Drosophila melanogaster: one gene and its partner. Changing the gene in region 1 together with any one later gene gives a genetic interaction. Each region holds a gene or a part of one and is shown on either strand. Other genes may lie near its edges.

Region 1 (4,881 bases):
AAAAAGAGAAGCACAGGGGTGGATTTAGGAGGTGGAGTGAGGTTTATTGGCGCTCGACCGAAAAATGCACTGCATTTTTCGTTATGGAAAGGGTTTGATCTAGTGGTATTTTTATAAAATAAAAATATATGAAATTAATTTAAAATGCATCGAAAAAGAATTATTAAGGAACGCGTTCCGGAATAATTCCACTTCCGACTGGGGAAGCAAAAGCAGCAGCAAAAGCAGGAGCTTTTGCCTTTGCTTATTGGATTTTCGACGCCGGCACTCCACGTGTTTCTTGAATCGCGTAAATTGTTCGTTTTCCCTTACCACACCCCGCCCCTTTACCGACAAGCTTTCATTGTCATTGTGTGTGCATAAAATGGCAGCAGAGAGAGAGAGAGAGAGAGAGAATGGGAAAACATGCGCCAAAAAAAAGCTTACCGCTCTCTCCTCTCTTTCGCTCACTGCAAAACGAATGCGCATTGTTATTGTTTTTGGCAAGGCTGCACTGAAAAAAAAATACTGTTGCTAACGAACTGTCAATGAATAGAAATAAGGTAATTGTTTGATTCAACTTTATCAACTCTTTTTCCACTAAAATTAAGTGGTTATTGTTTGATTGGCTAGGAATTTGATATTTTTGATGGGAATTGCATTCAAAAAAGGGACTCCTGACACTTGTGTGAATAGGGGAAGTTTTTGGGCTGAGAAATGAAAAGCATTTTGAGGGTTTTTGTTCCAATTTTGATGGTTTGATCGGAAAGTTCTCAAGGGATATGCAAATTATGCGAGAACTGAGTAGTTAGGTTATTATTGTTTTCTTCCTAGAAATCAAAGACCAATTGTAAGAATTTTCTAAAGAATTCCAAAGAATTCCACTAAAAAAATTTTATCCTTTACTTTTGTTTTCTGAGAGTGATCAAGATTTTAAAGAAACGTAATGCGTTCTTTTGCATTAAAGCTATGCAATTAACATTTTTCCCATATTCCCATCTTAACTCATTGTGCCGATCTTAAAGTGGTTTTCCATATAAATCGCCTCTTGCGAACCCTATTTCTATTGCATCTAATATTCAGAGACCACCTGGATGGAATCCCCCGCTGTTCGAATAGGTTAAGACCAAGTTAAGGTTTGCTTTTGCTATTTCGGGACGAGATTTCCCTAAACATTTTCCACTTGAGCGGAGCTCCTATAAATTACCTCATGTCCTTTGCCTTATGCAATTGCGCCTGCAAAAGAGAGAGTGAGAGAAAGAGTGAGAGACTCACCCCCGGATTATGAGGATATATGTAATTTTTATCCTGGGGCGGCAGTGCATACACACAGAAAAAGACATGCAAAAAGCAGTTGCAACGACCATTACTTCTACTCGCCTGAGTAAATTGTGTTCTAAAAATCATTAAAAAAAAATATGTAAACTATTTTCTGTTATACTTTAGACTATTTTCGGTTATCCTTTTTAAGAATCCTTGTTGGAGATGTCCAATCTGACAATTGCAAGTTGCTCGCCTGCATTCCAATTGGATTAAAAGCTCGCTCGCTCGCTCGCGCTCTCTTTCTCTCTCTCTCTACGGAGCACACCACTGCACGCTTGTTCGTTCGCCGCCTGTTGGAATCGAAATCGAATCGGCAGTCAAAAAGAAACTGCCGTGTTGAACGGACGTGTTGAAGTTTCGCGGTTGCTTGTTTCGGTGGTGCTCGCAGCAGCAGCAGCGTTTGTGCATTCGCATTCGCAGTCGCAAATTCGCATCGCCTCGTCGCTCGTCAGCCCTGGCAACTGCAGGCAACTCAAGTTTTACACGTAAATTAAGAAACGAGGAAGCACGGACAGAATCGAAACCGCTTGATAAAACAGTTATTCTCTACATTTCTGAACTGAAAGAACTGCAGCGGATGAAGTGCAAAAAGCGAAAAGTGCTAAAAGTTTGCGGCATTGAACACTTTTAATTATTATTTACGTTTTGTTTGTGTTTCGTCGAGCAAAGCAAATGCACAAACTAACTGTCCAGTGTGCATGTGTGTGGCAAGAGTGCGTGAGTGCGTCGTGAGTGTTGCAAAACGGCTGTTCGCCTAGTAATTCAAAGGTAATTTTGAGTGAATATTGATCATATTGAAGTGCATGTGGTATGTTTCAAAGCTCAAATAAAGTGACATAAAATCAAAAATGAACAATTATGCGTGTGTACTTGGTTTTCTCGCACACATGAAATTCTGGCCTATGTGTGTGTGTGTGTGACTTTGCAACTCGAATTTCAAACGGTACAAAACGCAGCATAAAAAATGAAGCGAATAGCAAAAGCAAACTGAGAAAAAGTGAAGTATAGACTTTTATGCATAACCAAAACGTCTGCATTTTTAATCAAGCAACAACAATAGAAAAATAAGCAAAAGCAAACTACAACAACAACAGCGAGGAGTACATGGAACAATAAACAACCCTCCCCGTTTTCCGCCTCCCCCTGAAAATAAACAAGGCGCAATACCAGTGAACTGAACCCCTTTTTTGCACTGTGTGTTTATGTGTGTGTGTGTGTGTGTGTGTGCTACGAAATAGCAATTAAGGGAGAATAGAGGAAAGTGCATGAAGTGCAGGAAAGAAGGCAAAATGCAATTAATCCCCAGGACACTTGTTCAAAAAAGCGAGAGAAAAGTGTAGAATAACGGTGAACAAGTGTTGAACAACTACAGAAATACACTACAAAATGTGAAAACTTCTTAAAAATAGTTTTGAAGTAAATGTTCTTAAAACAATTAGACAATTCACTGCTCAAATAAAAATGTTTCCCCTTCCCCAAAATTTCCAAGTCCCAATGCCATATAAAGTGTTTTTGAGTAGAATAAAAGACATTTGCCAGAAGCAAAGTGGGAATTACGGTCCCAAAATGGGAAAATGAAATATATTCTGCGATAATAAAATCATTAATCCAATTCCACTTACAAGAAATCGGGCTGATAAGAAACCAGAAATTCTGGGCACAAATGAAATGAAATTTATTCGGGTGAACTGTGACAAATTAATATAATATTAAAAAGAAAATGAATACTTAAAACATGTCACATTATCCCCGAATAGATTTGAGTTTCAATCAGCCAAATTCCACTTACACTTTTTAATAACAATTTTCTAACCGCTTTTGTATTTGCAGCCAAATGTCAATGTGAAAATGTCTCAACGAGCAAATTTTAGGAAAGTCAAGAAAAACATTCAACGACCTCAAAACCAGCGAATGCTACAAAATGCGAATCAAGAACATTTAACCATCTAAATATTCAAAATCAATTTAATTGAATCAAATAACGCGAAATTGCAACAAATCAACCTAAAAATGAACTGAAAACAAAAACATTTCGAAAAACAACGCAAAATTCTAAAATTGGCAACATAAGTTTTGGTCTTGAATTAAATACAACAAAAATAAATTAACAAAAAACGATTTTTGGCAACAAAACATCATACATAAAATATACACAAATTGTAATTATCTCAAAACGTCCACACGTGAAAATGATTTGCAACTAAGATGACAATCTAATAAAATCAATGTAAATTTTTAACGCAACAAAAGGAAAACCAAAACCGTCAGCAAAAACCAGCCCAAAATCAGTTGAAAAGCCGAGGGAAATCTTTTTAGAACAAACGCAGAAAACCGCAAAAATTTAAGCCACCAAATTGGTAAACTATTCAAAATTATTGGTTCGGACATACGCAATACTAAACACAGCAACACAACAACAACAACAACAACAGCAACAACAGCAGCCATAGCAACTACTACAGTGATCACTACAGTAAAAGCAACCGCAACAGAAGCAGCAGATAAAACGTGTGTGTTAGTTTGCATAAAAATTTCGTTTCGATAAAAGCAAAGCAAAATCATTTAACAAAATAAATAAAGAATAAAGTAAAAAAAAAAATTACCAATCGTAATACATGTATTTATAAAATATATACCTATACATATATCTATGCTTACGAATTATATCGGAGAATATTTGGTAAACAATTTTTGATAAAAACAACTCGAGTATATATCCTAACTAATTAGCAACAAAAAGAACTAGAACATTTGGCCTAAGTGAAAAAAAAAGTGAAGTGAGAAAAACTAAAAAGAAAAACTTATAAATTCAAAATTACCACTTGTGAAAGGTGTTACAACTGAGGATTCTGGATTTGGATTAATGCGTAAATTTGCAATTGAATATTAAGGTGAGTTTGTTATGTTATATTTATGAAAAATTCACAACTTGTCATTTTTTCACACATCTCTTCGCATTTCTTAATGGCCCTTTTAAGTTTCCCCACGCACGAAAAAGTGCGTAAAATGAAAAATGTTTTTTTTTTTTTTAGAAAGTGTCCACAAACATTTGCAAACAATTACCGCTCGTAAAAAAAAGGCAAGTGCTCCGCCTCTAATTACAATTATAATTTATGCAAAAAGTAAGGAAAACATTTTTTGGTCAAGAGAAAAATTGTCTACGCACTTTGCGTATGATTTATGACACTCAAAACTTGGCGTTGCATATTAATACGCGAGAAAAAAGCAAAAGTTGCTTGCTTGTCACTTCTACATGTGTATCTACGCACACACACACACAAACTCTCTCACACACTCACGCACGGAAAGGGGTGTAGATATTTTTTGGGGTTGTGCATAAATTAAAAATATATTACTTCTGCTTCTTGCCGATGCACAAAAAAAAAAAAAAAATGCGGCGCAGTTGACACGCAATATTTTTCGACTGCGCTGCCGGCGCCGCTGCCACTTTGACCTACTTAGCAAACGCAGCGTGTTCCAAATTTTGTGCGTTGTGTACTTCTTTGTACCGCTCTCGCCCCCTCTCCCTCGCGCACTCGCCCCGTCCCGCTCGCACGCGTTGGGGTTGGTCTGGCATTG
Region 2 (4,838 bases), on another chromosome or scaffold:
TGAATTTTATCGTTCTACAATCGGCACGGGATCAATTGGTGAAGATGTAAATCGGATTTGGATGAAAAATGTATCCCCTTGCCTATGCAATATATACAGTTTCATGCAAATCAATGACAAAGCCTTCCGCTCTCACTTTCGTAAACATTTTTTAAATAATATGTTGTAGTACCCTAGTATGCAATTATATTAAGTTTTCACATTACCTCGATGATATTGATAGTTAATATAATAAGTAAGTAATTTTCTTTAAATTCAATTTTTGTATGAGCAAGTCAAAATAATTACATAAATTCATTAAATTTAAGTCACTTTATCACTTCATTTATTTAAATATTAAATTAATAACTTTTGTCTCTGAAACACTAAACGAGAATCAAAAACGGTTAATTAATGAGTATTATCTTAATGTTTTCTGATCGCTGAGCCATTCATTCCCCTACAATTTGGTCACCAATGGGAAACTACTGAAGTACCGAAGGCCCTTTCGAAATCGATTCACTGCCCAAAAATCGAACTCTCGACCATTTTTGGTTACCTTTTTGGGAGTTGCGTGCATCGCCTGAGGGAAGTATCTTTTAATGGAGCCGAGCTTCGGCAAAATTATCTCCGCCGTACTGTATAAACGATCCTGACTAATATAACGGCTGACGATGAAAGGGGACCTTTCAATGTGATAAATGCGAGTGCGACACACGCAAATCGCTGCGTCTAAAGGTGGCATAAATACGCGGCGCAGGCCGAAACCCAGCTGAGTGGTTCGACCTATATCGTCGGCTAGACGCCCAAACCCGATTCGATGCTCCCCATATCTGGCGCTTCTTCTTCTCGCGCCACGCGGAAAGAGAACGGAAGAGAGAGAGAGAGCGACCAGAGTGCAAATTTACGATCGGCACATGCAGGCGGGAGACGTCAATGTACGGCAACAAAGTTGCTCCACTCGAGCTTCTCGCAGAGATTCGCAAAAAAACACGCGAACTTCAAGAGAGAATCGCTCAGAGAGGAAGAGCACGTCTTCGATGTTTTATGCTCCCCATTAATGGGGCAAATGCACTTTACACTCTCGCAGACCCGTTTCTCTCCGTAACTCTCTGTTGCCCAAGATGCTTTCGTTTGAGTTCTTCACATACCAACGTTGCTTCGAGCTTATGAGTTTGCTAAAAATCGTGGGAACCGATGAAAGAAATGCCCTTCTATCGTATAAATGTTTCTGTTTAAAAACTATTTACTTAGTATTTAAAATAATTGACCGTTTTTCGTATTTCACATATTAAATAGCAACACAGAAGTAATGAATATTTTAAAACATTTTCCGTTCAAATACATAATTTTTTAAAATACATTTTATTTGGCTGATATTAGCGGAAATTAGCCCTTAAAAGTATGCAACGCAGGTAAGGAGAATTAAGTATCCGCAGTGCGGAACCTATATTTTTCGCGGCGAATTTAGCTCATATTACATACGATTTAATAGTTTGCAATACTTTTTTATAGTTCATAGTTCATATTGTAAGAATTGTGTTTAAATTATGTTATTTTTAGCATGGTTTACTTATGGAAAAGAGCATAGTTAAGGGTTTACAATGAAAACGGTCAAATAAGGGTATCCATATCTGGTACCAAACCAATTTGCTTTCTCCCAGTTGATGTGCAGTGCATCCAGCAGTCGAGCAGGTTGGATGCTCGCACTCGTTTCTTTTTTCGCGGTGCAGCAACCAGAGTGCAAATACAAATAGCAAGAGCGTTGCGTCGCCAGTCGGTGGGCCCGTCTCTGTGCCAGAAACACATGCTCAGTTTTAGGTCCGCCCGTCCGCCTGAATGTCCGTGTATCTGTCCGCTGTCTTTTGGTCTGCTAGTCGGACTGGTACTGGTCCGAGTGTTAGTATCGTGCACGGGGAGCTTTAGCTTTGTGGCCGCAACCAGTTTGCTGGCATCGATCGTCCTTTGCAGGTCGTGCATGTCGCGTTGGCGTCTCGCGCCGTCCGCGTTCCGTGCTCGAAATCACAATCTCAAGCTGAAGTGAAAAGAACTGGAGCGGATTCGGTACAAAATTCTGTGCGATAGTTTTTAGTTGCTGTGCGAGGTCCGAAAATATCTCTAAAATGCGTTGACCTACAGGGAACCAGATCGAGCCGCGAGTGCCATGCTAAACAAAGTCGTTTGCGGCTACAGCTTGTACGGTTTAAGATAACAAATAAAAGAAATAAATTTTTACCGGCTTCACACTCTCACTCTCGGTCCACGAAGCACTCCTGACCGTCTCGTACCCAGCCGATCGGACTCCCCGTATCTCATCGAGTTCGCCGAGTGCTAGTGCTATATTCTCTCACTTTGCTTGCATAACCAAGAGCAAAGCACACCTCGCGGAGGCAGATCGCAGATGCAGATACAGATACATATACTGCTAGTGGTCTAGTAGTGGACCTGGAGATACTCTAGCGAGTGCATGCAATTGGCATTGTACCTGGTAAGTGAACGATGAGTTACGAGCGCTCTGCGGCCAAAATGTGCCACCACTCCGCTCCGTTTTGCCACCTTTTTGCCCGGCATTTGGGGGCGTTGCAAACTGCCTTGTAATTGCCTGACATAAATGCTCGTGTGTACAAGGCTTAATGGCGATAGCAGCAGGTACGCTCAGCGATTGCCATCTACAACTGGCGGTATGACTGCTGAATGGGGGGGAGCCAGGGGTTCAGGCTATTGTCTGACTTCCAAATTAAACAGGAAACGAGCAACAGGTCGCGTTTTACAGCCACACTATGAGACTCCCGCATTAGTTTCTAAGATTGGGATAGCGTAGGCCATTGCCATTGTCGTTTGCGATCGGCTATCCTAGATGACTGCATACATATAAGGCAAATTGGACCAAGGTCTAAGTGGTTATGAGGAAAATGCAAATGACAAATACGGAAACCAACTGGCTTAAAACGATAAACACGTGCTGAATATTTTTATTCAAATTAAAGTTGAAGCGAAGGCGTTTCTTGTTAATTTTAAAGCTTACCATCGATTATTCACGAGTGCTGCAATTATAAAAAATATATGTAAATTAGAACTTAAATTTTTGCCAATGCTCATTGTGTATAGCGCGAAAGGACAGTTTACCTTTAATATTTTGTGTTATCTTGGGGATAATTATTCATTTCTTTTGGCTATTATTCTTGTCATTTGTAGTCGAAATAACATAGTTAGCCTTGCTAAGTTAAAACTCATATTTTAGTGGGCGTAAGAGATCATTAGTAGAAACTGCAGCTTGCTTTCACTCACGAAATCTCGACTTTCATGAAGACGGATGACGCAAATGGCAAGATCGAGTACACCTGTCTGTAGTCTTAAAAAAAAAGGTATAAGAACCTAGCATGCCGTTTGACTCCTCAGCAAACATGCAGACTTTTTACTCATAGATTTATATTAAGTAAGTTATTAAACCATATTAGCAAGACGAATATTTTAGTATAATATAAATCTGAGCTTGGTACATTTTCCCAAGAATATATACAAATATAAAATACCTGTAAATGCATTTTTCTTAGTGCACAGTTATAATGATCTGTACTCAACTTTTTAAGCTGCACCCCACTTGCAATTATCATATAATCGACTTAAGGTGCTTTTGCCATTTATAACGCCGAGCTGTCCTTGGCCCATTAATAACCTGAAGTGGGTTCTTATCGTGATCTCTTCCGCTTTAGACAAATTAATTGAGCATACATGCGCAAGCTGCACATTTTTTATGCTCGCCCGTAATCAATTTAATCCGCTTTTCCTTTGGCAACTTTGACCACTGTTTCCCTGCTTATATTTGTCATTATTTCCACCAAACACAAATATTGAAAACTGATAGCCAGCAGGGTCTTTCTCTTAAAGTGGCTCTTCGGAGGAATTATTTCTCTGCGGGTCTCTCAGCTCATACAAATTAGAGGCGACATGCAAGATAAGCAATCTTGTGCAGTTTTTAAACACACAGGCAAAATAACAACATTTTGCCGTGGCCAGCGGGAGGCGGTGGAAGAAGGGGGCGGGTATCTGGTGCTAGCACGAATGTGAGACCCGTTATCAGCACATCGTTCATGCTCAATTTACCCTCCATTTAAATACAGGGTATTAACTCTTTAGACTCCGAAATTAAGTCATTACAGCAAACGAAAATTGAGACAGACAAACGCTCACACTACATGTCACCTAGCTAATAGATTAAAATTCTCATCGATACTGGCTTTCGTCTATGTCACATATATTTCTCCCTATCTTTCGTTCATTAGGTTCTAATCAATCGTCAAACATTTTGAGTGTGAATCTGTGTGCATAGGCAAGTTCAATGAGTCACCATAATGTCAAACTAAGTGCAAATTAGATTAAACACGAATCAAACACGCCAGCAGGTGTGGAGAAAGTGGACAAGAAGTGTAGAAGAATCTTATATTCCCTATCTATATAATATAGAAATATTAACCACATTCTTCCCATGTATACTTTTTACTTATATTACTTATATTATTTGGTTTTTTTATTATTGATATGTAATTGATTGATGTAAAGCTTTTTTTATTTTTGTGCTTTAGAGGGCCATTTATCGATTTACGAGTATCAACATATTTATAGGCTTAACTTATTTAAGCAGGTAACAATATTTTGGTTCTTTAAGTTTGAGTAAACCCATTAAATTAAAAAAAATGTTTTTTAGAATTCCTCTTTTCCATTAATTGTTATTATATTTTAATATCTTTCTAAAATTGTTATATATCATATGTATATATGTATATAATATATTTACGCACATACATAAGTTAAAAGAGTAATAGAAATGCCACGAATTGCACTTTTATTTCCAACCTAGT

The links.
Region 2: of chinmo (region 1) and dsx, changing one suppresses a phenotype caused by changing the other (phenotypic suppression), as found in Drosophila melanogaster (one study listed by BioGRID).

Annotation. Positions count from the first base shown.
Region 1 is NT_033779.5:1,649,643-1,654,523, forward strand, and holds the start of chinmo (chronologically inappropriate morphogenesis), read left to right. Parts: upstream 1-1,615; 5' UTR 1,616-2,070; intron 2,071-3,132; 5' UTR 3,133-4,193; intron 4,194-4,881. UniProt on the Drosophila melanogaster protein: Required for morphological differentiation of postmitotic neurons during postembryonic brain development. Ensures production of appropriate neuron subtypes within a lineage by preventing precocious generation of late neuronal types of that lineage.
Region 2 is NT_033777.3:7,964,092-7,968,929, reverse strand, and holds the start of dsx (doublesex), read left to right. Parts: upstream 1-1,521; 5' UTR 1,522-2,467; intron 2,468-4,838. UniProt on the Drosophila melanogaster protein: Controls somatic sexual differentiation. Binds directly and specifically to the FBE (fat body enhancer) of the yolk protein 1 and 2 genes (Yp1 and Yp2).